4 linked regions of the Lepisosteus oculatus genome follow. The protein of the gene in region 4 interacts with the protein of the main gene of each other region in a pairwise test. Links are inferred from orthologs where the notes say so. Each region holds a gene or a part of one and is shown on either strand. Other genes may lie near its edges.

Evidence for each region.
Region 1: the proteins of tex11 (region 4) and hyi interact in binary tests that used the Homo sapiens proteins (3 or more experiments, as listed by UniProt). The two-hybrid records come from large-scale screens. The link is inferred for Lepisosteus oculatus from reciprocal best matches to the Homo sapiens genes TEX11 and HYI.
Region 2: the proteins of tex11 (region 4) and neflb interact in a two-hybrid assay, tested with the Homo sapiens proteins (2 studies listed by BioGRID and IntAct). The two-hybrid records come from large-scale screens. The link is inferred for Lepisosteus oculatus from reciprocal best matches to the Homo sapiens genes TEX11 and NEFL.
Region 3: the proteins of tex11 (region 4) and znf414 interact in binary tests that used the Homo sapiens proteins (3 or more experiments, as listed by UniProt). The two-hybrid records come from large-scale screens. The link is inferred for Lepisosteus oculatus from reciprocal best matches to the Homo sapiens genes TEX11 and ZNF414.

Annotation. Positions count from the first base shown.
Region 1 is NC_090704.1:2,447,360-2,455,139, forward strand, and holds the start of hyi (putative hydroxypyruvate isomerase), read right to left. Parts: upstream 3,518-7,780; 5' UTR 3,125-3,517; coding exon 2,926-3,124; intron 2,160-2,925; coding exon 2,009-2,159; intron 1,155-2,008; coding exon 1,040-1,154; intron 755-1,039; coding exon 676-754; intron 287-675; coding exon 237-286; intron 1-236. UniProt on the Homo sapiens protein: Catalyzes the reversible isomerization between hydroxypyruvate and 2-hydroxy-3-oxopropanoate (also termed tartronate semialdehyde).
Region 2 is NC_090697.1:65,109,193-65,116,847, forward strand, and holds the start of neflb (neurofilament light polypeptide), read right to left. Parts: upstream 3,303-7,655; 5' UTR 3,202-3,302; coding exon 2,140-3,201; intron 1-2,139. UniProt on the Homo sapiens protein: Neurofilaments usually contain three intermediate filament proteins: NEFL, NEFM, and NEFH which are involved in the maintenance of neuronal caliber.
Region 3 is NC_090724.1:1,952,768-1,960,212, forward strand, and holds the start of znf414 (zinc finger protein 414), read right to left. Parts: upstream 3,067-7,445; 5' UTR 2,860-3,066; coding exon 2,857-2,859; intron 1,984-2,856; coding exon 1,851-1,983; intron 1,408-1,850; coding exon 1,300-1,407; intron 423-1,299; coding exon 317-422; intron 1-316. UniProt on the Homo sapiens protein: May be involved in transcriptional regulation.
Region 4 is NC_090703.1:50,026,335-50,034,629, forward strand, and holds the start of tex11 (testis-expressed protein 11), read right to left. Parts: upstream 3,282-8,295; 5' UTR 3,091-3,281; coding exon 3,063-3,090; intron 2,618-3,062; coding exon 2,496-2,617; intron 1,020-2,495; coding exon 935-1,019; intron 559-934; coding exon 479-558; intron 1-478. UniProt on the Homo sapiens protein: Regulator of crossing-over during meiosis. Involved in initiation and/or maintenance of chromosome synapsis and formation of crossovers.

The sequences.
Region 1 (7,780 bases), on a different chromosome or scaffold from region 4:
ATTGTCAACACAGCACCAGTCACTGTGGTAAGAATCTAAAATGACAAACACCTATTCTTCCACAGAATGCATACCAGGCAGCAAGTAAAATTAAAACTTGTATTTGATTCAGCCACCTTAAAAGAGCCCCCAATTAGAGTTACCAGGCAAAATACACACACATTATAAACTGTACCCTTGGATATTTTAATGGTCATTTCAGGAACTGAAACCACAAGAAAAACTTCCTAGCTCACCATCTGCAGCTTTATGTTTGAACGGCCAACTTTTTGCAAAATAGCAGCAGCTAGGAAAGAACAAAGAGTTTTTTAGAGTGGGGACCCGCGTCAGTGTCGAAACACGCAGAACGCTGACAAGCGGAGGGAAGAACAACATTTTGGCTGTGAAGGTATATAAGAACAGTTACTGTACAAATGAGAGGAGACTCTTCAGGTATTCCAGTCCATTTGGAGTGAGTAGTTTCTTGGTCCAAGGATCAGGCAGCATCTTCATACAATAGTGCCATCGGGTGACAGCCTTCATTCTGAATAGCCCCAAACTGGGAATAATCCCACTAATGCAGTTTTATACCCACATTTAAAACGTATCTTTACCTAAATGGGCCGCACTGACCTCTATCAATCTCCACAAACTCCTCTTCCATGCCTAACAATACGTGCAGCACTGTCCGCTTACCCTGGTGCGGCGAGTTCAAGAAATAGCGGGGATCCGTTATCCTGGTGTTGATCGGCTCCACCAGCCCAAGAATTCCTTCCTGCAAGGGGAAAACCAGACAATCACATGGCATCGCAGACAGACCTGCCCGATGTTCCCCCCCGGTCCTCCCTCGGGGGGCCCCGTCGGCCCCCAGTTCCTGCCTCGCTGAGCACGGGCGGGCCTGTGACAGCGTCCTGAAGCACAAGCACCGCACGCCATCGACTATCATCACTACGCAGAAACGGCAGCCTCACCGACTGACATCTACAGGGGGGGAAATGCAGCAATTTCACATTTCTGTGCCCCCCCCCCCGTGGCTTTGAGCTCAGCGATCGGGTGTGACCTTCGACAGGACATCCGCGGCGTATCTCAGGTTGGCAATGAAGGTGGCCTCCATCTCCCCAGCTGCAGCTGCTCGATCCTGCCCTGCGGGCACTCTCCCGGCCATCAGGTGAATCCTGGGAAAACGGACAGTGGAGCCGGAGAGGCCACCCAGGGATTAAGACGTAACACCGGCCCTGGCGAGCCCAGGTTCGCCCTGAACCAGTCCGCGAAATCAGCAGTAACAGCGATACCAACTCTCTGCATCTGCTGTGCCCGCCGATGGCCACGGGTCTTGACAGTTCTTGTAGCCCCCCGGATTATTACCCCGTTTTCTCAGGGTCTCATCATTCCTGCTCATAGCCGGCTGCTTCTAATCCTCCGCTAATTAATGCAGCAGGTGATTCATTACACACGTCTGCCCCCAACACTGGGAACTCCCCCGCTCACTAAGGAGGGCACTGCTTTTCAGTCCCGCCTGCGCCTGTCATTGAAGTACAAAAAGGGCTGGCAGTGTCCGGGCCCGACACAGTGCTCTAGACGCCAGCTCTGCAGCAGTGGCTTCCAGGGGCTGCACTGTGGCTCTGGGACACGCCTACAGGCGGTCCTACAGCGGCAGCACCCGAACACCTGGGGGCGAGCTGTGCGATGGGCCCAGCCGAAGCTGTACAACGAGATGGTTTCGCTCGTTCAGTGCCGAGCTGGAATGACGCACACCGACCCTCCAGGACCGGGACTGGACACCCCCTGCCGTACCGCGAGACGACCGAATCCGATTTTGGTCTGGGAGAATACGGGATGGGACACCCGGGTTAACTTCCGCGGAACACGGGAAAGCAGGCCGACGTTGAGTATCCAGCGTTCGAGGGGGGAGCCCAGCGTGACGGTGGCGCTGTGCTTCCTGAGTAGAGGCACGTCTCCCCGCGCATTGCCTCTCACGACACCACGTGCGCCACCGGCTCTGAGCGCTGGCCTGCAGAGGCACGCGTACCTGCCGCAGTCCAGGGCTCTGGCATACCGCACAGCCAGGTCCAGGCCTGCCCTGAAATCCTCCTCCCGGCCAGGCACTGCCCCCAGTCCGAGGTCTCCCCTCCCGACATCTCCTGCAACAGCACACCGGCGGACTGTGGGTACTCTGTGGGCTGCGGTGAATGGCATTCAAAGAGACGTGTAGCAGGAGTACCAGTGATCCATCAGGCCAGGGCAGAGTGATTTCATTTGCACACGATCATCATTGCACAGCGCGTCGTTGAGCTTCCAGAGAGTGCCCTTCAAACGACGTGCAGCACAGCCTAAGGATGCTAAGTAAACTAGCAGTTCCAGGTGACAGCGTATCCTGAGGCCCCATTCAAATGGATCTTTCTACCTTACTGTAACTGCAAGGATCAGCAAGATCGCCGAGGACTAGACATCCACGCAGAGTTGTGAATCAAGGACCACGCCAATGAGACAACTCGTTGGCATATTAATGGCGGTGACGAGTCCCAGCTGATACGTGCCTTTAAATCTAACCCGCAAACTGCTGCTAATGACGCGCCTTAAGCCAATTAAAAACATGAAGGTATGGACAGCTCACGGGTTTGCTCTCTGAGACACCGTCTTGCAAACTTTCAAATAATGTGAAGGCTGCGTTCATAGGGACAAGCAAGCCCACAGTGTGTAAGGCAAACTGTTGCTGCAAGAAGTGCAATCACTAAAAATGTATCTTTCGTACCATTTTCTAGTATTTAACTTTCTTAACATTAATGTACTCGATTCCGTTAGAAAGCCAACATTAGCGAAGTGCATAACTTCACAGTGAAGTTGACTTATTGCGCTGTCCTACAGGCGCCGGTTTTTTTCTCCCTCGGCGGCGTAATAACACGCGCATGTCCCGTCTACAGTGCAAGACCTCTCTTTATTTCTTACCAGGCGGTGTGTTTATGAGCACAACGTCCACCCCGGCCTGTGTAATGGCTTTCTGGAGATCCAGCGGGTCCGCGTCGTACAGCCACGCCGCCTCCACCGCCCGGAACCCGGCTGCCGCCGCCGCTTGAGCCCGCTGGGCGAACTCCGGCAGCTCCGTGAACAGCCAGGAGAGGTTGGCACAGAACTTTAACGGGGGCATTATTTTTTTGCAGACACTTGACCCAAATGAAGGGAAGCGAGGACGGAATTTTACTTTATATAAAAAAAAAGTTCCGGGTTAAATGCACAGCAGAAACAATAACAGGCGGACTCCGGTTCCGTGGTGCAAAGTCCAGTCAACTAACTCATTACCCAGCAGTTTCAGGTAAATACTTGATTTCTGCAGGACGTAGACAGCCCGCTGTGTGCACAGATCTACACGTGACTTCGCCTGTGATTATTTCCGCACCGGACTCGGAACCGCACGCCTGCGCAAAGCGTCTTTTGATTTCGGCAGGGGTGGGTTTGTGTAGTCCGTGGGAATAGCAGGAGGAAAGCTGTACACAACGACTTATTTTCCCATCGTGCGATTCGGGGATGTTGTGAAAGCCCCACTGTTCCGTGTCTGGCATGTACAGTAGTAAACTTTGATTAGTAGTCCCAACCCCTGCCTCTTCCTGTCTCCTCGACGGGGCATTCACCTGCCAGTGGGTGACGGTGAGGGTTCGTCTCATTGTGCAAGGCACCTTGCACCTTACGTTTTCTGGACCTTTGCACCACCCTGAGAGATGACTATCTACAGCGCAGTCTGCTGTCTTTGCTCAGGGTGATCTCCATCTGAAGAGTGTTGACGAACCAGCCGTATCTCGGCGCCTGTGTGAATCCCACTGCCAATAGCCTCATCTGCCCACACACCCTGCATCTGTTGCCTTGCTATTATAGAAGGGCCTCAGAACGCTCAAAGTCGTGAGAAGAATCCTTTGTTTGTTTAAGACCTCACCAGTCAGCAAGGAATCAGATTGACTCTTATCACTCAGTTCAGTAAAACTGAACAAGTATTGTCCGGACCAAAAAAAATGTATGTTGATCTTATTAGCACACATTAGAAAACCATTTTTTTATTTTTACAAAAGCCTGTTTTTTTGGTAATGTCCTTGTTCTCGGGTTTTGAGCGGTGTGCATTTTTCACAAGCCTCCTGTGGGAGACGGCCGGATGTCTTTACGCTTTGCGGGGGATAAGGGCACGGTCTCTCTCGCTCCTGGCAGGATCTGATCCCGGTCTCTCATGGGCTCCAAGCAGAGCGCCGCTTTCCAGACAGCAGATAAACCTCCCGGGCAGAACACCGATCCGCTGCCACAGCAGAGTTTTGCACTGTATAGATTTTTTTTGTGTGTCAACTCTATGTAATTAAATTATTCATCCCGATTAAGTTATATTTTACATATGAAACACATGTGCGAATAGTCCTATATATATATAGATCCCTGGGGAACATCGAGCCATTGTCTGATTAGTGTGATGAAGGTCTTACACTCAATTTACACTTATTGGGCTGGCCCAGCTCTGTCAAATTTAGGTTGGAAGTTTTTTGACCCCACAAATCATGTGAGATTTGGCACCTTAGCACATTTATACGTGTGACTTAAAAGCCTAACCTTTGGCCAAGCATGTAACTGTGATGGAAATAAGTCAATACGGAGAGGCAGAATACAGGTGACACCTAGACTAGATGAATATTTCCTTCCTCGCTGTTATTAGTCAGGTACTGCTGCCAAAAAGCAGTCTACCCGTGACCTCTGAACTATACCAGTCAGCCAACAGAGCTTCCCGAAGTTAGTTTGTGAACTATGGAGCTCTTTACTTTCCATTCCAGATCTGCCCGTATCCTCTAATGCAATGAATTCAGCATTCTTATGTTCCATAATAGTGTAAGGATGCCATGTGTAGCCTGCATTTACTCCTTTAAATCAGATTAATCCCGGAAAAGATTTTCCAGGATGCAACAGGAAAACCTTTTTTTTGTTTTGATGTCTCAAGCTGTCGGGGATTGTTTGCATCTGTTTATATCCAGCTAATGTTCCATGGGTTGTAAGTTTCAGAAGCTCAAGTTTGCAAAATGCCTTCTGCCAAAAGCATTAAGACCAATCACCACGTCACATAAAGGCAACAAATGCTGGAGGTACTTAAATAGAACTGAAGCCAAATGTTTAACATGGTCTATAATAACGATTGCCATCCAAGCTAAATAAAAGGTTTTCCATAATTAAAGCACCATATGAAATTAAAGTACTGTATGAATTCAGAACTTAAACTTCCCAATTATAGCTGTGCTGGAAAGTCTCCTTAAATATAATCCAGAGGAGAAGCTTTACTTGGAAAGTTTTCCATCTGTGTACAGAGACTGAAATGATGAAAGACATAACACTAACATACCAATTACTGGTATAAGTGTAAGTGTACTGCTACACACCAATTCCTGGTAGTACTTGCGGCTGTTTGTAAAGCATAATTAATTGTCTGATGGGTGAAAACTATGTAAAATAGTTACCATTAGATGCCATCTCCATGAAATCATTTTCCCTTAGAAAGCACAGGATCAGCTTGACCACGACTCTTCAACCAGGAATAATCGTCTTTCTGAGTGAGATTAGTGGAAGGAAGCCAGTACATGTTGAAACAGGTGCAAAACCTTACAATGCCTTGCTTGGGTGCTAAGAACTGGTGACTCTGAGAAACAGCCAATGTGATAGCTATTGTGCACAACTGAAATGATTTCTTCTCAGACCTTCAAGAAAGTACCAACAGGGAGAGAGTTCTGTTCCTGTACTTTTCCACTTTAGAGGATTTTTGGATCCGTTTGTCTGACATGAACTGATTTCAGGAAGTAAAAAAGCCCTCAAAGGGTCTTACCAGCAAATGACAATGAAAAATAAACACTTTTGCTTTTGAGGTTGTTCGATAGCCCTTGTAAAACACTGAGAAAATGCATTTTTCCCAATGCCAGTAAGTGGCTTTTTGCACGAGTAATGATTGACATTGCTCGGAGCATCTTTTACATGACATGTCCTGTTCACCGCGAGATTGATTTAGAGGGGATGGCACGGTGCAGAGATTTTAGAGCCCATGTCGGTGTCAGGCTGCAGGAGTTTTCGTGTCCTGCCGTCACGAACTGCATGAATCACACGTGAGCCAGATTGACCATGCCAGTCTTCCAGTCCAGGGGGAAAGGCCCTGTCAGACAGATGAGGCTGATGAGGGAATGATGGCTGATTATGGAGGTCTGTAAGGCTGCCTCCCCTAGACAGCTCTGTGATACCCTGGGAAAGGAAGACCAGTTTTCTACAGAACAGACTTAAACAAACCAGAGCATTAGGGAACATGAGTCTACATGGTAGATCGTATAGCTTTAATTTGTAGGAGTTGCTCGACACTGGTTTTGAGGTAGAGAAAAACTGTAACATGTCCAGCCGGTCAACTCTCATTCCTCAGATTTCATTTCTCATGAATGGAGATGCAGAAGAGCATCAGGGATTTCCAACCACAGCCATTTTTGAAAGTTGCAGTATGTCCTTTTATATACTGTATATACATACATTCACTTGATCTTCATTTTAGTTATTTGTTTTTGCTAGGGTTGGAGAACATTACATAAGAATGGTTCAGCCCATCTAGCCTGTTAGGCAGTTAGTGGTTAATTGGTCCCAGGATGTCATCCAGCTTTTCTACCAAAATGCCAGGTTATCGGCTTCAGCAACAGGGGTTCCCAGCTCCCATATCCCTTCCTGTCCCCCTGACTTCATTTTTAAATGCACTTCCTCGTAGCCTCCGCTTGTGGCTTCTGGTCAGTGGATCAGTGTTCAGTCGGGGGAATTCCAACGGGTTGACTTCGTCAGTGTCTTTGAGGCTTTAATACAACCTGGACACTTGCATCGGGTCTCTTTGTCGTCGCCCCTGTTCAGGACTGAAAAGGTTCAGTTCCTTCAGTCAAAGGTCCCGTGCGTTAAGTTGAGAATGCGTTCAAGAGGCTCAGCTATTCAATCCCTCCTCAGTGAAGGGCTGGGTTCCTGGTGTTCCCCTGTGAAAGGGGGGACACAGAGCCTAACCCGAGACAGATCTGAAACTTGGTCTGAAGAATGCACTCACAATGATTTTTTTTTTAACTGATCATTTTGGTGTTTGTTCGACTCGCCGTACTCCCGTTCCGTTGATTTAGAATAAAGAGGCTCCTCATCATCGACTTCCATCATCTGAGACTCGCGCTGTGTGTAGCGAGCGCCTGTCGGAATCGGCACAGACCTTTTCACGAATGATCGCTGCAGCCCCTTGAACTACAGTATGATTTCAAGGAGCTGAGCTGCTGTAGTGACACAGCAAGGCTGAGTGGAAGAACAGGCCCTGCAGGGCTGCTCCGTATCTGTTTGCTGGTTGTCATTTGTGTTAGGGGTTTCTAACACAATGCAGGAGTAAAAGAGTCTATGAGACAGGTGTTTCATTTTCATAGAAATGTCATAAATTCTGCTTGCAGAACTGCAGTATTGTTATTTTCACATCAACATTTACTGTACATTTACAGTAGTTGTACTTAAGGCCGCATTGTTTGTTTTCAATGCTGAACATCTGGAAATACATAGCTGGTTCTTCAAATCTTTACTATGATTTCATGGACAATTTGAGATGCAAACAAAATATGCTGTGCCATATTGATAATTATGAATCAATTAATCTTTGCAAGCTGGGAATGCAGCACTTGTTTCTATGGAAACTGAAATAGAGGGGTATATGCCGTGACAGCAGAAAGCAGGCTGAGGTAAAAGAGGTAATTTTATATACGTACCTCAGAAGGATCTTGGGTGCCCTGTGTTTTTTTAATGGATG
Region 2 (7,655 bases), on a different chromosome or scaffold from region 4:
TTGGAGCGTTAATGGAATCCTGCCTTTTAAGAGAGGCGTTTGTTATTGTGCTTGTTAACCAGCCTAAAAAATATTCTACTCTCATATTAATATTCTGTTTTCTCCCCTGCAACTGAAGTGCTGGCCAGGTTCTATGAAGAAAGAACTGATGTCATTTCAAAGCTGAAATCCACTGAGCAAAGCCTGACACAAGCCCTAGTCTGTAGATCAGTTGAATTCTGGGATCTTTTGTTTAGTGAAGGAGGAGAGGGCATTAGGAATTTCTGTGTAGCGCTAATATCACTAAAGAGTTAGTATGCAATGCCCGTTGAAAACGAATAAAATGCTACAACTGCCAGGACAGATCTCAAATTGGGGACTGCATCCATTTTCAGACTGACTGTTCAATCGCTGTGCTGGCATTTTCTCGGCTTTAAATCACATTTGTTGGCAGCATTCAAATGGACCATAATAATAACAGGAAAGAATACAGATCGCCATACTGCAGGCAAGCCATGAGGAGCTTTGGGATCCTGCCACCTCAAGGATTAGCAGAGCAGATCCCCCTAGGGAAAGAGACACTGATGGATGGTGTTCTGGGAAATGCCAGCAGCGCTCATGAAAAGTGCCAAGAGTGTGCATTTTGATTTTTTCCTGTGTCGCTTTCTCCCTGTACAGGATTTGCAGAATTGGCAGTAGGGGCCAGTGGTGGAGGTATAGGGCTGTATCAGAACCAGGAAGGTCATGGCTTAAGCTCCAAGCCTGCCAGAGTCCACCACTGGGGTGGTATGTAAAAGAGATTGCCTAGAGAGTGTCACTCAGCAGGTAGTTGATGTTTTTATCACATCCTATCCTGTGCAAGTTAATTGGAATTAGAGCATCTGCTCAGTAACTATCATTAGTTCTTTAGTGTCCTGTACATACAGCATTAAGGATGGACAGGCTTTGCTCTCAACTCCTCCACTTTTTCCTTTTCCTGTGTTTTGTCAATGGCTTTGTATTTCGACTGCAGAAGACCTGTCACTCTGCAGGCTTGCTCTCCAGTAACCAATTCATTTTAGTGTGCTGTGAGCCCCGGGCGTCCGCAACACCGCAGAGGAAGCTGTCCCTGCCTGCAGCATTCTCCTGGTGGAAGACATGCAAAGCTCACTCGACAATGTGCTAGGCACAATTGAAAGCACTCAAACCTGTCTCACGAAAAGAAGAAGCTCCGCTCCTGTTCAGCTACTGCAATCGTGTGCTGAATAAAAAAAATATTATTAAGATTATAAGGGAAGCTCCTCTCACAGCACCGCACATCTCCGGTAAGCAAAAAAGTCTCTGCTCTCTCTCTTTTTTCAGCTGTCATCAACAATAGCACCGTGTGCTGTGAGTGATCTTTTTATCAGAGGGCTGTACAATTGACTCTGGGCAGTATGAAGACAGCCTGCTACTGCTTCTGCAGAAGTGCAATGTGCAGTACAAACTTCTCAAAGAACTCTCTAGATGTTTGGAGATTTTCTAGTCCATCTATCGCAGATGAACCATAAACCGTCAGATGGATTTAATGTGAAACTAAATACAGAACTGAGTGTCTCAGCAAAAGTCTGTAGACATCTCTAGTACCTCTCTGGAACGGCTGAGAGATTTTTCTTTTCCTGGTCTCGCTAATGTGTCTCTGGCCCTGGTCCACTTTTCTTCTCAGTAACAAAGAACAAGAAACATAAAGTGTGGAGCAATCCCAATTAACCCTTTCTCTGCAGCTGTTCTGTTTCTCTGACATCTGCCATTTCAGTTTGGGATATAGTCGGTTTTAACTCTTATTGATCACGACAGTAGAGAGACGGATACTGCAGTTACTAACTCTCCATTGAGTAGATGCCATGAAGTTTCATTCCCCTGGCTGACCAGACAGAGAAACGGTCAAATACAATGCAATCTTCCTCTGTTTTTGTGCCTATCGTATTGGTTACAAAAACTTGCATTAAAGGCAGGCAAAGGCTAAGATAAAAAAATCTAGATAGAATTCTAGCCTGATCCCAAAGATCAGATTACTGATCTGTTTTAGAAATTGGAGAGATTATGTGGATATATAAAGTATATACAACTTAACCATGGAAGAAATGACAGTAAAAGTTGTATATGGAAGTTATACCCTCCACTTGCACTACAAACACTGACCTGAAGAGCGGCGATGTCAGCATTCTGCTTCTCCTCCAGATCCTGCAGCTGTTTCTCCAGGGCCTCGTTCATGCCCCGGCACGCCTCGATCTCCAGGCTGCGAGCCTTGAGCTGGCGCCGGTATTCGCCCACCTCGTCCTTGGCGTTGCGCACAGCGTCGGTGTTGCGGGCCGCCGTCTCGGTCAGCACGGTGAACTTGCTCTTGAACCAGTCCTCGGCGGCCTGCATGTTGCGTGCGGCCAGCTTCTCGTACTGGGAGCGGATGTCGCGGAGGGCAGCAGACAGGTCGGGCTTGGCCACCTCCATCTCCACGGAGATCTGGGCGTACTGCACCTGCGCCTGCAGCTCGGCGATCTCCTCCTCGTGCACCCGCTTCAGGAAGGCGATCTCGTCCAGCAGCGTCTCGGCCCGCTTCTCCAGCTCGGCTCGGCCGAGGGCAGCCTCGTCTGCCACCTTGCGGGTCTCCATCAGCCGTCCCTCCGCTTCCTCGCGGCTCAGCACTTCCTCCTCGTAGCGGCTCTGCAGGCCCCGCAGGGCATCCTCCAGGCCGTCGCGCTCGTTCTGCGCCGCCTGCTTCTCGCCCCGCGCCTCTTCCACGGCGGCCCGCAGCTCCCGGATCTCGTGCTCGTACAGCGCCTGGAGCCGGGAGGGCTCCACGTGCTTCTGCCGGAGCACCAGCAGCTCAGCCTCCAGCACCTTGTTCTGCTGCTCCAGCTCGTGCACGCGCTCGATGAAGCTGGCGAAGCGGTCGTTCAGCTCCTGCAGCTGGGCTTTCTCCTGGGTGCGGACGGTCTTGAACTCGCTCCCCACCTGCGTGGCCTGGCTCAGGTCGAAGTCCGCCGCCATGAGGAGAGAGGAGGCGGAGGAGGCGGAGAGGCCATAGGGGCGGTGGCGGGCTGTGCCCACCGAGGTGGACAGCGGAGCCGAGTGGCTGGAGTAGACCGAGCGGGCGCCCCCGTATCCTGCGCTGCGCACCCCGGAGATGTGCACCACCCTGGGGCTGCTCTCCACATATCGGCGCTTGTAGGAGGTGAAGTAGGGGTCGTAGCCAACGGAAGTCATGGCGGCGGGAGGGCAGGGGAGTTCGGTTGCCGTGTGCACTCAGTGCTGTTACCGCGGCGGTGCTGCCTTTATACCCCTGGCAGGGCTCTGACGCAAGCACTTTTCCACTGACAGCGGCGATCAATAGCTGAGCTCTCAGCCAAAGCTTAGCTTGCAGATGGAGAGAGAGAGAGAGAGGCAGGACTCTGTTTCTGCCTGGAGAGGAGGGAGGATTAGAAGGAGGGGGGAGAGCAAAGGAGAAAAGGAAGGGGCTTTTTTTCCTTCCTTCCTGCAAGGGAATTTGAATTCAAGTCTTCTCCTGTGATCCGACTTTTACTTTGGCTCTTTGGGAGTCTCACAAGCATGAGAGGATGAGTGTGAGGCTCGTGCGAAGCCACATTCATGCATTTCAGCTGTATTGCTTTCTTGAAATCATGTCACGACTGTGCAGTCATGTAAATTAGGGCCATGTCCCGAGCTGTCACTCTGGGATTGCAAGCGCTACGAAGTTGTCACTAAGCAAAGTGAAATGGCTCTGGAGGCGCGTGCCAGTTTTTAAGCCGCAGGAACAAAGACATTAAGACACTGAATGGAAATTTCTAAAACATGAACCTGTCTTTATCATAGCTCGGGATATTGTACTTATATAACAGCATTTACAGCCCAAGCCTGTTCTAGATAACACTCCATTTATAGATTGTAGAACAGTAAGGGCAGGTATCATTGTCCTGTAATAACAATAACAGTATTTAGGTATAGACTGCAGGAGCAGGAGACTCAGGTCAGTGTGTGAAATGTGAAATTGAGAATCTGGGGCCCATTCACTTCAGTGTCTCACTATTGTAATAGTAACTACGGCAGACGATGCAGTGTCTTGGCTACAGCCAAGTACTTAAACAGATGGCTTGTGCTGCACTCTGCAGAGTACAGCAGCAGGTAGCGGTGATGTGTAGACCGAGCAGTCTCAGGGCGGACGCAGGAGGCTAGATGCTCAAACCTGGGAGTCTACAGTCTGGGTGGGAACGTGTCGCAGTCAAATTGGGGGGTGGAGTGTAACTGAGTAGCCGCTGTAGCTGTGCAATTCGTTTTCAGGCACAGTCCTCTGCTCCCTGGAGTCTTAGATCATCTCAGCCACCCTTCAGATCAGCATTTGTAATTGACAGTGCCGACGATTGTGTAGCTATCAACAGAGGTTATTAAAAGAAGGCATTTATCACTGAGGTCCACTAATGATTAGCAAACTGCTCCTAATAGTTTGCAGACTACCTCTGGGGATAAATGCATAGCTCCTGGCTTATGTCATATTTATAGCTTGTGTGCAATTTTAAAGTGTCATTTCCAGCACCAGGAGATGGTAAACGTTACCTTTCCATCGTGGGTCTTTGGGATTTGAAGGAACTTTGTGCTTATCTTCCAGTTGTCTCTGTCAGTCCGGATCTTTTCAACCAGTCCGGTGATTGCAATGTTCTTAGTTAAATGTTTTAGCTGGCGCCTGCACGAACACAATATTTCAAGATCAATATATTGCAGAAAGTGCAGTTTTGAATTTCTCTTATTTCCTCATTCCTACCCAGAAATATTCTGTTTTTAAACTCCTTGGCAGGGAGGAAAATATCTCTCTTTGCACAGGCGCTTGAACCATTTCAGGTTTTACAAACTCAAAGCTCTTCTGTTTGAACCAGTAGCAAGTGCTGGATCACTTTGGCTTCTTGCCTTATTAGCAGGACATTTGCATAGGCATTTAGAATTATCTTAGATCAAAAATACATGCAAACATATGTGCACTTCACTGGAGTACTGTACATCTGGTAAAATCTATAAAGGATAAAACTGCTGTACATTGGAAACCGTCATTATATTTTAATATATAGTATATGTATAATTCCTCTATGATAAGCCCTGGTTGTTTGGTGGGTCTAACAGGCTTTCCAATAGGATTTTTGTACAGTACAGAAACACTGTTGTTCCTCTTGCCACCTCAGATGCAGAGGGAAGGAGCATTGTGTTATTCTACCAGATGAACACACTAGGAGCCTGTTTTTCCCTGTAGTCCACAAATGACCATGTGATTCATTTATTCTGGAGAGGGCCATTTGCCCACAGTTTAAGATCTCCTTTCTGACTATCAGACAATCTTAATCTCTAACATTGTATTTTACAAGTGTGCGTTAAAAGAAAAAAAATTATGGCCTTGTTATTTTCTGAGAGGGATATTACTGGCATGTGTGAAAAATGTGAAACATTAGGCTGTAGAATCAAATTTGATAACTGTTTGCAAAGCATGATGGGTCACAATGAGTAAAAACAGGGGACATTTAAATAGGGCCTATAGAGTTAAAGAAAACAGAAGCAGAAACATTTTAATTAATACGGTTTTATGTGATGCTACACTATCAATGAGAAAATGTTGCTTTTCAGCAAGGACAATATCTCTGAGAGTCATTCTGCTCAGTCAGGGTTTGATCAGCGATCTCATGACTGCAGGATTACATTAGTTAGGCTCAGTTAGCATCTTTAGAAATCAAGGACCAATTAGCAAGGCAGAGAAGCCGCTGTGGTGTTATCTGTCGATTAGCTCTTGCTGGTCTCTTGTAGGAAGCCTGTTTCAGTGATCTTCCACTGCCCCCACACAGTTCCCTCTCGGTATCTTTCTTTCAACTGATTTAATTCCATCTCTCATCTTCAAGCTCAGCGCTTTGACAGCTGCTCTGTGTGTACCTCTCTCTCCTATTTAGTAAAGCCTAGGGAAAATAATTGATTTAAGATCTGAGTGAATGTGTGTGAGCGAGTGGCCCCAGTTTACTTATAGACACTAAACTTAAATTTAAACTTTAAATGTTACTGTGAATTTAAAATTTGTAAATCATTCTTAGCCATGAAAGTGATAACATAACTCAATATGTTCTGGACTGGACTTTTAGAACCCATTAATCATCACTGAGTGAAAAAAACTTTCTGTGAATTGTCATCATTGCTTGTTGTAATCCAGTTGTTGGCGAGTATACAGTATCTTAAAATTTTAAACTAGGTATAGGAACTAGCAATACAGCAGGCTTCCCCTAGTCATTTCCTCTGGTGTAATTTATTTCCAAAGCTAAGTTTGCTGGAACTGTTACCCAGCCTGTCAGCATGGAAAAGTTGGTCTTTGTTGAGATAGAATCATGCAGTGCTCCTGTAGCAAGATAGTGTAATGAAAATCACAGAAAGTGTAGATCCCATGAGTGGTAGGTACTGTTCCCTTAAATCTGCTTTTTTTTTCTTGAGTGATTGTCCTCTGGCCATCAAAATCTGGAATCCAGCCAACCCCAGTCCCTCTCATCTTCTGCCTTGCAGATTGCTGCACAGTGGAGAGTGTGGGGACTGGTTTACTGCAGTGTGCTTGTGAGCTACGACATCGATCTTGTGCTAATGAGCTGGGAGGAGACAGCAGAATTACGCTGTGGGGCCAGTGGGCAGAGAGAGACAGATCACAGCAGGATCACAGAGGGGCTGTAAATCACAATGGCACAGATTTAATTTAATGACACAGTCTCTAAAGAGATGGGTGGTCTTGCAGATACAGTAGTTACTCACTGATGTGCGGTATTTTGTATCTGCCCCCTTTCTCCTTCTATAGGCACCTTCAGTCAGAAGGAATTAATTAAGACTGAACTTAATTGAACTAATTAAGCCAATAATTGGTTCAATCAAGAAATTGAGACCTGGAGTATAAGGAAAAGCAGAGTTTTGGAGTTCAGGACTAGGGCTGGAGACCCTTGAAACCGAAGATTCAATATGAAACATAGCTTTACATTACTCCCTGGCACCCAATTACCGGAATTTCTAATTGAATTTGTAGCAGGGCGGGTCTTTAGGTCGATCATCTGATTTATTAGATTACTGAAATCACATTTCTTATTGAACAGCTGTGCTGTCTTAAGAGCTGGCTGGGCCAACATGCCCAGAATGGAAAACAATGGATTGAAAAGGCTAGTAAATCAACTGCCTCTGTTCTGCTCCGTTCCAGTCCAGGTCTTTCAACAAGCGCCCCGTTAATTTAATTACAAATTAAATTAGTTCTAATGAAATACTGATGAAACGTGTTGGAAGCTTTCTCACTTTCGAAGCAGAGATCAGTTCAACTAAGGTGGCACGTCAGTCAAAAGGATCACATACTGTACGTTACAGCAGGTCAGTCCTTGGAGCACGTGACTTGGACGTGGCTACATTTGACTGGACACAGTTAGGTTCCCCTGTGCATGGAGGCATGGCAGGTAGCATTTTTGCCTTAGCTCCTGCTCTGTAACTCCTGTGTTCCATTCTGGCGTGGGGTGCATTGTGTGTGGTATTTGCATGGTCACTCTATAGTAACATTGAGGTTTCCTCCCACAATTTAAGGACGTGCTGCCTAGGTTAATTGCAAATGTGTTTGCACATCTTGGGATGGATTGCCAACCCATTGAGGCTGGGTCCTGCTGTCCACCCACAGACCTCTA
Region 3 (7,445 bases), on a different chromosome or scaffold from region 4:
GAACATCCTGGTCACGGATGTCACACACACTCAGCACCACGCTCACACCGACACGAGAACTCTTCGAGCATGCAGATGTATTCACGGACTGTCTGAGCAGGTACAGAAGCGCTCTGAGAAGCCACCCTTACAGCCAGGATAGAAAATAAAGCTTCCCCAGCACAAAACGGCCACGTTTTTTCCCGTCAGGTGGCTTCTCCAGAAGGCGTGGCGTTATGCAAGCCAAACCGGACTGAGACCTGCAGCAGATCAAGCTGACCGAGCAGAACGAGTTTCCCCACTCTGCAGCGCAGCAGTGAGCAGCAGCCTGACTCACAGGAAGTAGCGGTTGGGCTTGTAGTGGTGGCGCGTGTGGTCCATCAGCTTCTGCATGGAGGGAAACGTGCCTGTGCAGCCCAGCGTGGAGCAGTGGAACTGTTTGCCTGAGGAGAGGACTCTGTCAGACTCGCGCTCTCTCACGATACGATACTCCATTGTCTGACTGATGCATCGAAGCACACACACACACAAACTTGCAGACAAAGAGTACAAGCAGACATTACAGATAAATATAACATAACAGGCATCTAGTCATGCAAATTCAGTTCACACCACTCTTACAGGAATCCCCACGGCCACACCAGAGCCCTGTAAACGGACTTCACCTCAATTACACTAAACCCATAAAATTACACATCACCCCTTCACTTCTACACACTGATTACAGTTGCCTGTAAACCACTTTCCCTTAATTTTTACTGATTAATTGGGGGGCTTGATTGAGCATAAGATAAAAGACCACTTCAACATCATTTTGGAGGCAGAGTTCATGTGCTTCGTGCAGAAAGTACGAGCAGAAAGCGACTTCAGGGTTATCTGAGATTAATCAGCATGGATGGTGGGAGGTGATGCCAGTGCCACTTACCCAATGAAATAAACTCTCCATGCAGGTCTGGAATGCTAGGAGGGAGATCTGGCTGGAGCGATCTGCTCAATTTCCTACATCCTACATTCTCCACAAAAACTCGAGAGGCGCAAAGTCTCATATCAGTAACCTCTCGACTGCGGTGTGCACACGCAGCTGGGTGAATCTGAACTTATTTAGCAGAGCAGTTGCCAATCTGCACCCCCCAACATGAGCACAGGGCATCAGAACAGCCCACACAACCACAGACCACCGCACACTAGCAGGGTACTGCAGCACTGGGGCTCATCTTTCTATCAGTGTGGGTCAGATCCCTACACACAGCTAGAAGCAAAAACTAACAAAAAAAGATCATTCCCCTAAGGAATGTGGGACTGAAGGACATTAATCCCTACCTTCCAGTGACTGGGTTGGGATGTAGTGGCTTCTCGTGTGGCTCATCAGCTTCTGCATGTCAGAAAAGACTTGCTTGCAGCCGAAGAACGAACAAGGCACAGTTTTTCCTACAAGGCCAACAAAGTCTACGTCAAACCCCCCCGAAGCCTGCAAACAACAAGCGTCCGGACAGATGTCTCACTAACAAGGGGCTCCAACAGCACAACCTTGTAAAGCACTGATGCACTGAATAATCTACAGAAATAACCTGAAGAAGTCAGGCGTGCTGTACGCTGTTTCCCAAAATCTGCTCCTAAAAACAGAAATGCAAATTATCCAAGCACTGCAACATTATTAATAATAATATAGAGTTTGGGGCTCTGCACTGAGAACTGCAGGGCTCCGGGTTTGAATCCCAGGCAGGACACTGCAGCTGTACCCTGGAACCAGATGCCTCACTCTGCTCCTATGGGTGGGAGCCAGGTTTTGGATGAAAGCTACAAGGAAAAGGTCAGCCCAGAAGGAATGCAGCAGACGTTTCTGACAGAGCGGCGGAGCAGAAATGTGGTACCTTCCGTGGCGCCAGGGGGCGCTAGCTGTCCCAGGGGCGGCTCAGACATGTCGCTGCCGAGAGAGGGCCTGAGCTCATGATGAGCAGGACCTACAGGAAGTGGGCGGGTAACAGCTTTTGCGGGAGAGGCTGTCTGAAACACAACAAGAACTTGTTTTGCGATTCCATCACAAAAAGAAAAAAAAAGACAGGGAGAAAGCTGTCATTCGTGCCGAGGTATATTCTCAGTATTAGCTCATTTAGTGACTCAACACGAAAAGACACTTAAACACCGAGGGGACTGGAATATAAACATTTTCCTACCAGAAACCACTGGTGGTTTCAAAACCTGCAAGATTCTCTTAATCTCGTCGATCGGTTTTTAAAGTCACAAAAGCGATGTTTTATTTCTTCCTTCCCGCTCGATAAACCCTTGAGGTCGCCCAGTATGCGGGGGGGACCTGACAGAATGAAAAGCACGTCGCTGCCGTTTTCCTGGGAAGGGCGAACACAGCCTGCGTGTTCGGAGGAAAACTTCATTTCAGCACAAGGGCTGAAAGTGGAGCTCCGTCTCGCGCGTGCAGAAGTTACAAGAACTTGCTCAGAGGTAAACAGAAACACAGCAGGACATCTCCGTTCAACGACTACTCAGCGGTGCGTCCTATCACTTAGTACAAACGGAAAATCCTTGCATCTCCGTCACGCTGCGTTTCAGAACATGCAGGGTCCGAGGGAGGTTCTTTCAACAACGAAATGGACTGATTCTGTTTTGCTGTCTTTTATTCTCGAGTACGACTGCGAATCCCCCCTCATTAGCATTACACACCGGAGCTGCCTACGAGACAGGCGCCTGCAAACACCCGTCAGATATTCCAGCTGTTGGCACTGAATGGCTCTCAATACTGGAAAGAAAGTAAGAACGAGGGAGAAACGATGCACAAAGTGTCGGGTTCGCAGCACGCCGAAAGAAAACACTTCTTTCTGCAAACGCACGACTCTCGGACAGTTTTTAATCTCTTTCACTCACCATTCGCCGGTTAAAACCAGGAGAGGGAGGGAGGGGAGGGGGTTAATGGGTTCCGACCAGTCTTGTGGCGCTGTTTCGGTTACACACACTCCAAAAAAAAAAAAAAGGTGGGCGAAGAAACTATAAATAACCAAAGGCGTGTATTTCACTTTCTCGCAAGCAGCCCCTGCGCGTTAGCCATATTGGACTGCAGCTGTCGCGAGACTGTCAACAAAGACGGGGAGGCGCTCGGGGCTCCCCCGTCACGTGACGCCGCCGCTTTGAACCGGAGCGTCAGGCCGCCCCGTCCGGTCTCCTGCAGGAGGGGACCGCCGGGGGAGCCGGAGCCCGTCCCGGCGAGCGCAACGGGCCACAGGCCGGGCTACGCGCTGGACGGGACGCCAGCTCAGCGCAGGGCACACACTGATATAAACACACACACACACACCGGGGCCGGTTTTTCTCAGAAGGCGGTTAACAGCATGTCTGCTTCTCGGTCTTTTGGCTGGGATCAAGTGTAGTATGTTTTTTTGGGGGGGCTGTGGCAGGAAGCCGGAACGGAGCTCACACGAACACGGGGAGAGCATGCAAACTCCGCGCAGACAGCACCCCAGGAATTGAACCCGGGCCCCAGCACCGCCAGGCAGCTGCGCTGACCCCTGGTGCAGCGTTTCACGCGGAATTACCTGGAGCCCGAGAACAAATACTTGCACTTCGATCTTCCTGCTCTTGTCCCGGGTCCTGCTTCAGGATTAAATCGGACACAGGCTGTCAGAGGTGACAAGGAATTCTGAAACAACCCCGATGAGATAACTGTTTTAGTACTGAAACGATGTCAGAATATCCCATAGCAGGTTAGCAACAGCAGCCAACGTCCCACATTTCAGATCGTATTCTTAGAAACAGCCCCGTCTTGAAATCGCTTCCGGCGAATCATCCCTTAGGACTGAACCCGGGCACCCTCACCCTTCCCCGTATGGCGCGGCTGGTTTGTCCAAGTAATTTTGGAAATCCTTTATAGTCCCAGACAATCCAGTTGAGTACACCTTCACACCCTCTCGTTTCCAGCGAAGACCTGCAGAAAAGGGCGCGTCTCAGCACTGTCCCACACACGGTCACGCTATGAGCACAGTATCTCGTAATTACTTCATGTGATAATCACGTCGTAGCGCGACGGTCACGCAGTCATCGTCTCGAATCGGCGTTGGTTGACTTTCAGTTTTAAGCCGTGAATAAAGAATGAGGAATCAATCATTCTTGTTTAAGAGCAAGTGCGGGTATCCTCATGGTTATGAATGAGTGCGCATTAGGTACAAGTGGTAACATTTCATTCAGACTAAACTGCTCATTCTGCAGCGCTGGATCCCGTCTGAGCCCAGAGTCCAGCTGGGCTCCCAGTAGCCTCAGGTGCTGTCATTACACAACGTCACGGGTTGTCCATCCACTGAAATGATCCTTGCTATTTTATAATTAGGAGATGATTTGCTATCTCGTAATTACTAGAGAATGTGCCATCTCGTAATAACGAGATCATTTTCTCCTGATAACGTGATAGCACATAACACGTTTTCCTTGATGGCAGAAATGCACTCCCGCAGTGTACAACTGCTGTCATAAGGTGGAATTTGTAAAAAGTACCGCATCTTAAATGTCAAGTTGTACAGAGGACAACGAAAAATGATGCAGACGGTAGACCAGCAAATTAGAGATATACCAGTAAATATTCTTCCGGTACTGTGTGAGGGGGGAGAGTCTAACCCAGTCAAGCGGAGAAGCTTACAAAAAAGCAGAACAAACCGATGTAGTTCAAAACATTATTTTAATCTTAAACTTAATTTTTCAGTCCAGAAAACTGAGAGAATAGATCCATCATCAAAATCTGATTGTGAGTACAGTACTGTTACCGCAAGAGGCCTCGGGGAAATATACTACAAAGGTTAGTATAAATGGAAGATAAAATAGTTGCCGTTTAAAGCTAAGCAGCACCCCGCTTCAGGCCAGACCCCGAACTCACGGGGAATGGAGCCCACAGTGGGCACCTGCTCGAGTCACGGAGACTGCCGAGGCCGGCGTGAAGCGCAGCTGCGGTCCCGTGAACGAGTGGCCCACCGAGGCAGTGGACGTGTAAAAAAGCCCCAAATTAGCGAAAATAATCCCCCACTCGTGTGATGTAGTTTTCACCAGAACCCACCTTAGCGATCCAAGGCTCGATTCGGTTCCGTCGGCCTGTCCCCACACTGCGTACTGTGTGTGGCTCAGAAGGCGCCCCTCCCCTTACACGGTGCAAATACTTGTTTCATTTAGATAAAGGTGTTTTCATTGAAATACAAATTAGGCTTCCGCAGAGTTGCTGATCCCAGCAGAGTCCTGCCGAGTTAAAAGCTTGGCGCTTACATTTTTCAGTGAAAATATTTTTGTTTGTTTTTTTTACAAACCGAAACTAAAATACAAGTCTGCTATGTCAACATCTCGCGCTTTAAATAAACTTCATTTCTCGCAGGTGATTGAATTGTACCGGTGTTCTAGCAAAGCCTTTTTGGATGCTTTTGTGAAAGAAGGTGAGTCTGTTTACCGGGTGCCAGAAGCACATAAAAACGACACGCAGTTCCACACAGATGTGGATCTTCTCCAAGTGAATTTTGGGTTTTTTTTTCTTGTGATTTTAGACTTCATCTTCATGCAGGAGACATGGGAGATACACGGCTTGCATCTTGAATAAAGAATCTACGATTGAGACTCGGAAAAGGTGGGGTCAGATGGATTATTTATGATCGCCGGAAGCAGTTCGAGAGGAGGAATTCAGGTGGAATGTGTCATGACCTTTGAACTGAGGGATGCCACTGCGTTTCCACGAGCCTTTATTGCGTCATCACTTCGCAGTGACGTCTTCATTCCCGTTGACGTAGCGGCGTGTGACTCAGTTAATAAGCCTCGTCCAGCAGCAAAGCAGCTCTCGTCTTCCTTTTATATAAAATCCGTGACCCCCACCCAATACCATACCAGTCCCTCACAAAAACGTTCTCTGAAATGTTATGTTGGATCTAACCCTTAGCTCCCCTACCAACACTGTGCAGTATTCATAGTGAGCCTTCCTTCACGATTTAACTGCATCGCATACATGCGTTTTTGTCGTTATTTCGATCACCTATTTTAAAAATCCATATGAGAAAAACAGAAATGCTCGTGCTTCTCTGTCCCAGTGAAACTCTCGGACAGCCGACTCCCCGAGCCCCAGATCCCGGAGCTCTGCTCGCGCGATGTAGTCCTCGCTGGGAGTCCTAGGAGTCAGTCGGTTTCGTACAAAGAAGTTAGTGCCATTTTCTGTGTTCTGTCTTCAGAGATGTATAGCTGGCACTGTGGTGTACTGTAGTTGAGAGGCATAATTTTCACTTTAATTTAGACAAAACTGTTAACAGTTTCTGCTAACAGTATATACAGACTTTTTTTATAACTACATTTTTTAAACTAATTTGGAAATATGACAGAACATATTGTCCAAGACTGTATACAGGTTCTGCATCACCGAAAGCATTTCTGTCTAAAATGAACCTCTGTATGAATGCTGACTGAAGTGCGGAGCTTTGGACCGTCCCTTCAAGCGAGACTGTTATTTAGGGTACAAAGGAAGGAGTAAAGGTTTATTCCATGCTGAAAAGAGAGGAAAAGAAACACAACCTTTCGGCTGTGGAGCCTTATTCGGGTGTTATTTAAGGTATGCAAGCCGTCAAGCGTCAGTGTGGCAAACAGCACCATCTAGTGTCCATAATGTGAATTACAGGCGAGGCTCAGTTTTAGCAGTTTTCTGGGTTAACCAGCAGTGGCAGCGATTTTCTGCTTTTCATTTATAAACTTTTAAAAAGCAATTGTCCTGTTACATTATTCCCAGTTGAAAGAGAGGCTCATTGACATTTTTTGCACGCTATCTTTGTTTAGATATTACTCCACGTCTTCTCGAGGGTACAGTACACCAGGTGTGGGTCTACTTGAAGTGGCTTTTAGCTGGATTGAAAACAACAAAACATTTTAAGCAACAAAAAAGAAAAACCTTGAGGGCCAGAGATACACAGGCTTTTAGAAGATTCACAAAGTGCCGGATTACAAAACAGCATCCAGTTACTTCTAACCCTTCCAAAATTAAATCTCCCTCAAATTTCTCCAAATATCTTCAGCAGGGGCTTAAAGAATCAGGATCATTTTATAGAGATGTATTTTTCATGAAACAGGATAAAAAATGTAGGGATGAGAACTCATCTCAGGGAATCTGCTCTGTTTTTGGGCCATTCGCAGAAACGGACATGGTTGGCATTTGTGGTACTTTAGACGAAGCTGAGTTTCGAACACCTGTGGTTTGATCCCATGGCTGCCGGCAGTCCTGAGGCTGAGAGGAAGGACTGCTGGAAATACAAGCAGGAGGAGTCTCTCCCACCTTCCCCCCGCAACAGGGGCACGTGCTGCTCCGGGGCAGAAAGTAACAGCAGACACTGTGCAAAACAGCCCCTTCGACCCCAGCACCGGAGCCTCTCGGCCGTCTCTTTACTGTAAGAATACTTGTATTTCAAATCTCGTCTCGGAGCTCGCAGGACAAATTCAGGACAAGCTGGGGGAGGCCA
Region 4 (8,295 bases):
TCACCAGTGTGCAGCCCCACCTGGATGATGTGACATCTGACACTGACAGAAGTGACACCAGCTCTCAGTGGGGAGGAGAGCAGAGTGATGAAGCCAGTTCAGAGGTGGGGATTATTAGGAGGCCATGGTTGGTTATAGGCCGTGATAAAGGCCAGGGGGAAATTTGGCCAGGAAACGGGGTCTTTTCGAAGTGTGCCCTCTGATTTTTACTGACCACAGAGAGTTGGGTCTTCGGTTTTATATCTCATCCAAAGGACAGTGGCGTTTTACAGTATAGTGTCCTCATTACTATACGAGGGCATCATGACCCACACAGATTGCAGGATGAGCGCCCCCTACTGTTTCTGCTTACACCTCCTCCAGCAGCAACCTTAGCTCCTCCCAGGAGGAATAGTATGTTCTAGCAATGCTAATACAGACTAGACAGACCAGCAAGGTCTGGCATGCGACAGGTCTGCAGGTAAGAGGAAGGACTCACCAGGATTTGTCTGCGAATCGCTCCCTCTGACAAGTCTTTAGTTTCATACGCGTAGGCCAGTCTGCAAGCCACATGACGTACTGCAGCGTATGTTGTACAAAGAGCAGGACCCAAAGACAGCAGTGAATGAAAAACAGTAATGTGTCTAAAAACATGATACCCTGAATATTACTTTAAAGAAAAGAATAAGCTTTAAATTAATCTAAACAGAAAAGGACCACATGTGCAACGTTAAAGCATTAAACAGATTAGGAGAGTAAATTACACTGGAGCCTAGAACCAATGCATCAACAGTACATTACTGAGACAGCAATGCTGGCTATTCAGCTATGAAAAAGATTGGCAAATTCAGCTAATTTGTGGTCTCAATAAAACATTGAAACACAAATCTGAGTACATTGGTAGTTTTTTATAACGCTGATTTAAAATTTCATCTGGAGAGAATGAGTTTGTTACCTTTTGCTCTTTGCTCCTCAGTGATTGCAGAGCCCACATGTTTCGTAACAGCCCAGTTCCACAGCTTAATGGCATGTTCTTCAGCCTGAGAAATTAAAAATACTGTACACACTGTGTGCCTGCATCCTGGTTTTTGAGCACATTGTTTTGAATACTTTTAAAACACTTCCCTTTTCTTTAACAGGCAGTATTAGAATTAATACTTTAAAAGGGCTGTTACTCTGAGTGTTTTTTTATTATAAATAAGACTGATGGAGAGTAAAGAGGTTTTTAAGATGTACAACTGATGTCATTTACTGGATTGTTCCTATCAGATACATTGCACACAAAAAACAATGGCGCTACCACTCCAACCCCACACCTCCATCTCTCCCACTAGAGGGCTCTACCATTCCAGCGCCTCCCCCGTCTCTCCCACTGCAGGGCGCTACCATTCCAGCGCCACCCCCGTCTCTCCACTAGAGGGCGCTACCACTCCAGCGCCACACCCCCGTCTCTCCACTGCAGGGCGCTACCATTCCAGCACCACACCCCCATCTCTCCCACTGCAGGGCGCTACCATTCCAGCGCCACCCCCCCGTCTCTCCCACTGCAGGGCGCTACCATTCCAGCGCCACACCCCCGTCTCTCCACTGCAGGGCGCTACCATTCCAGCGCCACCCCCCATCTCTCCCACTGCAGGGCGCTACCATTCCAGCGCCACCCCCCCGTCTCTCCCACTGCAGGGCGCTACCATTCCAGCACCACACCCCCGTCTCTCCACTGCAGGGCGCTACCATTCCAGCGCCACCCCCCGTCTCTCCACTGCAGGGCGCTACCATTCCAGCGCCACACCCCCGTCTCTCCACTGCAGGGCGCTACCATTCCAGCGCCACCCCCCGTCTCTCCCACTGCAGGGCGCTACCATTCCAGCGCCACACCCCCGTCTCTCCACTGCAGGGCGCTACCATTCCAGCGCCACCCCCGTCTCTCCCACTGCAGGGCGCTACCATTCCAGCGCCACCCCCGTCTCTCCACTAGAGGGCGCTACCACTCCAGCGCCACACCCCCGTCTCTCCCACTGCAGGGCGCTACCATTCCAGCGCCACCCCCGTCTCTCCCACTGCAGGGCGCTACCACTCCAGCGCCACACCCCCGTCTCTCCCACTGCAGGGCGCTACCATTCCAGCGCCACCCCCGTCTCTCCCACTGCAGGGCGCTACCATTCCAGCGCCACCCCCCGTCTCTCCCACTGCAGGGCGCTACCATTCCAGCGCCACACCCCCGTCTCTCCACTAGAGGGCGCTACCATTCCAGCGCCACACCCCCGTCTCTCCCACTGCAGGGCGCTACCATTCCAGCGCCACCCCCGTCTCTCCCACTGCAGGGCGCTACCATTCCAGCGCCACCCCCGTCTCTCCACTAGAGGGCGCTACCACTCCAGCGCCACCCCCGTCTCTCCACTAGAGGGCGCTACCACTCCAGCGCCACACCCCCGTCTCTCCCACTAGAGGGCGCATATCACTCCAGCGCCACACCCCCGTCTCTCCACTAGAGGGCGCTATAAGGCCTTCAGCCTCACCTGCGGCTGGGGCACCTCCCCCGCCAGCTCGCCGTCCAGACGAGCCGCTTCGCCGAACAGTCTGTCGATGAGCCGCTCCGCGCTGCCAGGCGTCTGCTTCTGCACCAGCTCCTCGGTGAGGTCTACGCGTGAATTACATGAATTCACAGACATGAATAGTAAGGAACCTGATGGTACCCTTTTTTATAATATTCGGTCATTTAAAAAGTTCGCTTTTTAAGACCCACCACGAGTTTCTGGAGTCAGTTTTCCTTCTCTAATCTTCTTCATGGCGACATACCATAAAATAACCAGCGACCATAAAATAATACATGTCCTGTACTATGATGTTTTGTTTTTACGGGACAAATGGACTACAAGTTAAAATTGAACTCCCACATTTGAGAAAAAGAAATGATGTCATTAAGCCCATTTGGAATACAATCACAAACAAATCACATCGCGTCCTCGTCAGTGAAACGTGATGTCGTCCCCAAACACGTTTTCCACACATTTTGAATATAAATGTAGTCATATTTTTTTCCCCTCATGAGTTTAAATTAAATTCAGACCGAAAATATTCCTCACCTTTAACCTTCGAGATGAAGTCGTCCATGTCGGTGACAGCTAAAAGAAATATGATGAGTTTATAAGAAAAGGCGCAGCTGTAAAGCTTTTCAAAAGGTTTGCTTGGCTGAAATGTAATAATTAAAACCCCTCTAAAAAAAAGACGCGCAGTTTTAATGTGTTGATATTTTCGGCGTCTCGACCACGGCCGCGAGCTCGCGAGCTGGGCCTCGAGCCTGTCGGCGCCTCGCGCCGGGCCGCGCGCGCGCGCGCGCGCCTGGAGTTCCGTTTCCCCGGGAGTCTCAAAGCAGTTAATCCTCGCTTTCCTTTAAAGTTTAAATGCTAAAAAAACCGGCTTCCATGAATATTGGTCCGAAATTCCACTGATTGTGAAAAGCTTATATCTTCATTATAATTTTAAAATTATATGTTAGAAATTATCCAAGGTTATAAACGTGTTATTATTATTTCAGGTGGGGAGCTGCGTCAGCATCCGTAGGCTGTAGAGGAACAAGTAACAGGTTTATTCACACCTGAAGAAGGCTCCACGGCTGAAACGTTGTGTGTTCTTTCTTCTCTTTTTCAGCATGAAATAAACCTGTTACTTGTATTATTATTATTATTATTATTATTATTGCTGTTGTCAGTATATTATCCCGGAGAAACCGTCTGTATCCAAGTCGCCGCTAGGGGGAGCTCGATCCCGTGTTATCTGTTCTGGCTAAATCAAAAAAAAACTCCGCAAGAACTCACATCAAAGTCTTTTCATTCCAATCCGTGTTTCGAGTCGCGTGAATTGATCGATAAAAACGCCGTTGAAAACATGACTATAATTCTCCCTGGCGTGTGTAAAGCATCTGTCACTGTAGGAGCTACTGGTCTGTTGTTCACAAGGCACTGCTGAGCAAAGAGGCTTTGACCTGCTGCTCATCAGTTGATCAGATCACTTTATTGGCCATATACAACTTAGGGATTTGTCTTTTCACATACCCCAGCTTGCGCTCCATGAGACACACAGACAGAAAGAAGCTGGGGGTCAGAGCGCAGGGTCAGCCATTTATACGGTGCCCCTGGAGCAGCTGGGGTTCAGGGCCTTGCTCAGGGGCCCAACAGAGTAAGATCTCTCTGCCAGCCATGGGATTTGAACCAGCAACCTTCCAGCCAGAGGCGCACAGTCACAGAGCCACCACACCGCCCCTGAATAGCCACTGGACGAGCAGAATCATTGTTAGCCAATGAGCTAAGATTACTTATGAGTTGACATCTGTGATTGTGCATGTTCACAGTTTCACATCAAGGCTCCTGTGTGGAGTGGTTGTGGAATGATGAATTGATCTCATCGCTCTGCGCTCCTCCCCACTGAGAGCTGGTGTGTGGGGAGCAGACTGGAGCATCATCCAGGTGGGGCTGCACACTGGTGGGGATCCCCATGACCTGTAAAGCGCTTTGAGCAGGGTGTAAGGAAAAGCGCTATATATATATGTAAAGAATTATTATTAGATCATATTAGAATAGAATTAGAACTCCGCAGTGTTATAACTTGTCAGACTCAGCTAACTCCGTGACAGCAGACACCCTGTTCTGAATTTCAGACCACACCCTTCTACTCTAAGAGGCTCCCAGTAGTGCCTTGTTTCCTTTTTTAATGGGTGATAACTGGCACACAGGCTGGAAAATGGAAAATGTTTCTGCTGACGTTTGGCGCACGCCGAACTCCATTCATCTCATCTGCGCTGAAGAGGCCCATTGTTCTCCTCTGCCGCCTACAAATGAAAACGCTGTACTGTCAGCTCTTCCACTGAGCTCTGGCTGCTTTTCTTTGGTTGAGCAAGAAATTGTTAGAATATTTTTGGCAGAGGCCCAGCCTATTTATCGTGTCTGTTTATCGTGATCAGAGGTCATTCATTTGGCCAGTTGTGTTGTTTTTTTTTACACCATAGGAAATGATGCTGGCGTCGCATGCCTCCCAAAACCATTTGTATAAAATCCGGTACGCCTGTGGGAGAACATAAAGGAGACAAATTAAGTATCGCTGTTTCGATGCGAAGCCGTGTAAATACGTTTCATGTCTGAGAAGTGTTGGGAACCGGTGCTGACAGATGAGGTATACAACGTGAACTGAGACAGGAATCTTGATGTTCTCCTCCGCCCTCAGCCTGCAAATGTAATTTCTTGGGTCAATCTGGGCTCTGGCCCTGTGTGAGTACCGTTGTACCTGTATTGTAGGGTTAAATATTGTAACGCTTACGGCCGACAGGCACTGTGTAAGAGCCGGCGTACCAGAGCGGTGACGTCGCCGCCCTTCCCTGCGATAGCAGGACTACAGCTACTGGGCTGTGGAGAGATCTCTCTTTGGCTCACCGGGCTGGGTCACTGCAGAGAGACGCGGGAGTCCTGGGTTCCACCGTCGGGGGCTGACTAAATGCGGCAAGGGCGCCCGCCAGAGCCCCCGTTGCGTTACAATATATAAACGGTATAGTTAAGTGCACGTACAGATTGTCATTGAAAGAGTCCAGACCTTGTTTCCAGCTGAGAGATATTTGCTTGCTGTTATAACTTCAACACGAACTACAGCACGTGAATGTATGGCTTCGCGCGGGAAGGGTGTGACTTTCACATTGGCGGGGGTGGGGGGGCAGGGGGGGCAAAGATCAGGGCAGACCCAATCCCGCTGGACGCTGGGGCACTGTGATCGTCCCTGAGGCCTGTGCCTGTGCCTGTGCCATCTGTGCTGGTGCTCGGTGGCACATCTCGGCTTTTGAGCTTCGCAGGTATCAGAAGAAAAGAAGCCCCCCCCCTCCACCTCCCCTCCTGATATGAAACTGAACCTTTCCTTAGCTGCACGCTAGAGCTTCAGACACCAGATGTAGTCTTGAACCAACGCTCAGGAGGAGGCCAAGCCCCGGTCTTGCCTGTTTCCGGCTGCCCACATGTACAGTAAATACCCCGCTCCTCCCACCTGCGAGCTCCATTCTCACCTCCCCTCTCGCACCCTCACCCTTCCTTGCAGCAGCTCCTGGCTCGTCCCTCGCGGGGAGAAGAGGGAGCGGGGGTCCTGTCAGGGTACCCCTCGTGGGCAGCCTGCCGTTCGCTCAGCCAGGTGAGTCACCCCGGTGGAGCAGACCGGCACCCATCCCGCCTGCACTCTGATCTCACTAGGGGACATGCAGGAGCCACTGCAGGTGCACTGGGAATGTCTGGATGAAGTTGCTGGGGTGCAGGACGGAGAACTTGGGCCCCATTCAGAGAGGAGTGACCAGGGGCAGCTGAGGGATGGAGATGGGTTGAGGAGGGATGCTGGAGATGAATGGGGTGTCTGAGCTCCGTTCATGTAGCTAGTTTCTGTGATGATGGTGATCAGGTGCAGCTCAGTGAGGTTGACTTGTCGTTGTTGTCCTTCCCGAACTTCAGTTAATAACTTCCACTCACTGATTCTCGGGACTACTAAAACGACATCAGAAATGAAAAACACAAGTTTGTCTTTTTGGGCATTACTCTCGGTTTAGTTGTGCTCGTTTGCCGTAGGTACTAAAACTATTGCAGACGGCCGAGGTTGTGTGTTAGTGGGTTTCTAACAGGTTACACTGAAAAGCCCGTAAACCAATGAGATCATCATTCTGCTACAATTTTAGCACCGTTCATTTATGACAGAAGTGGAAAGGCTGGCTTTGATTCTACAAAAATGCTTGAAGGAGACTATTTTTAATAAGTCTCAGCTTTGTGGGAAACAGAAGAATATATATGCTGGTAGTATGCATCACATGGAATGAATTACTAAATTTCCTCAATTTTTCTTATACTGTGTAGGTTTGTTTTCTTTAATGGGAAAAGAATTACACTGTCAAAATCTGTCAACCCAAGAAGGGCTCAGGAATCTGGGTGTTTCGCTAAGGAATTAGTTTTGTGTTCTAAACAAAGGCCGAAACGTGTATAAGACATACATTCAGCAGGCATGCCAAAATCTTTGCAAACTGGTGAAACAAGCTTTGTTCGAGAGTAAACATTTAGCTTATTATTGCTCTTGGAGAAGCTTGACATTATTTAGTGAAAAGTAAAAACCTATCGCTGCTCGTTTACGAAACAGCTTCTGGACATTTAAGCACAATAGCAAAGTAATGGCCCTTCAAGAGCTGCTCACTTCTCCCCTTGCTCCCTACTAAAGAATATCCCGCGGACAGGGAGGCAGCGTCTGCTGGCCTCCCTGCAGCCAGGCTGTCCTGCCCCTGCTACGCTCCGTTTGTGCATGTGAGCTGCGTGGTCGGATTAAAGGAAGGGCTTCAAGCTGTGCGAGCAGAATTGTTTGAGCCTCTAAATGGCATTTCGCAGCCCGGCTTCTAAAATAAAACGTCTTGAAGCTCATTCCCCTCAGCTCCCGGCTTCCGCCAATTGTTCGCCTTTCAGTCTTATCTTGCAATCACCGCTGTCCCGGGGGAACTGGCAGGGAGCTGAGGGCCTAATCACGGGAAAAAAAACACCCCTCCAAGGGCAATTTAACCCAAAGAGAAACAGCAGCATGTTAATCATGTTGTTTTTCTAAAAAAAAAAAAAATCGATGCACTGAAAATTGGAATGCGTGTTTTTAAATATTCCTACTCATTTATGTAGAACAATAATTTGCCGTTGGCGGCCGATAGCGCTGCTGTCCCCCCGCTCCTGGTCCTGGGACAGGTTCTGTGTGCCGGCTGGGATAACAGGGCCTGCTCCAGGGCCTGCTCCCGCCTCCCTCCGCGTGCTTCTGGGAGTGACTCCGGATCGTCGCCACCCTCACCGGGGATCACAACTCTCCGGTAATGGATGGACGGGATGATTGCTGTAGTTTCAGAGAGTCTAATTTCTCTCGGCTCGCCCCTGGGGCAGTTCGGGCCACGCAGCCGTGTTCAGAAATGTGCCCAGACCAGACTGTGAGAAAACGGTGTTCCCAGGTTCTTACACGGAAACTGCTGACCTTGAAACCCAAGAATAATGAATGTCTCTCGAGGTGATACGTTACCACACTGACCCTCTTTTCATCACTCAGCCCAGTTCAATGCCTGTGCTGAGCTGTGCTTTTGAATAATCTGAGTGTTGAGAGTTTGACAGGAACACATATAGCCCCCCCAAAAATGTATATATTTCTTATATACATTGCATTTGCTATTGCATGTAATGTTGGCATTATATTCAAAGCATTTCCAGATGTATTTCTTAGACTGACCTTTTTGACAGTGTTGATCCAAATTAATTCAGCAAAGTTACTCCTTGAATAACTGGCGTC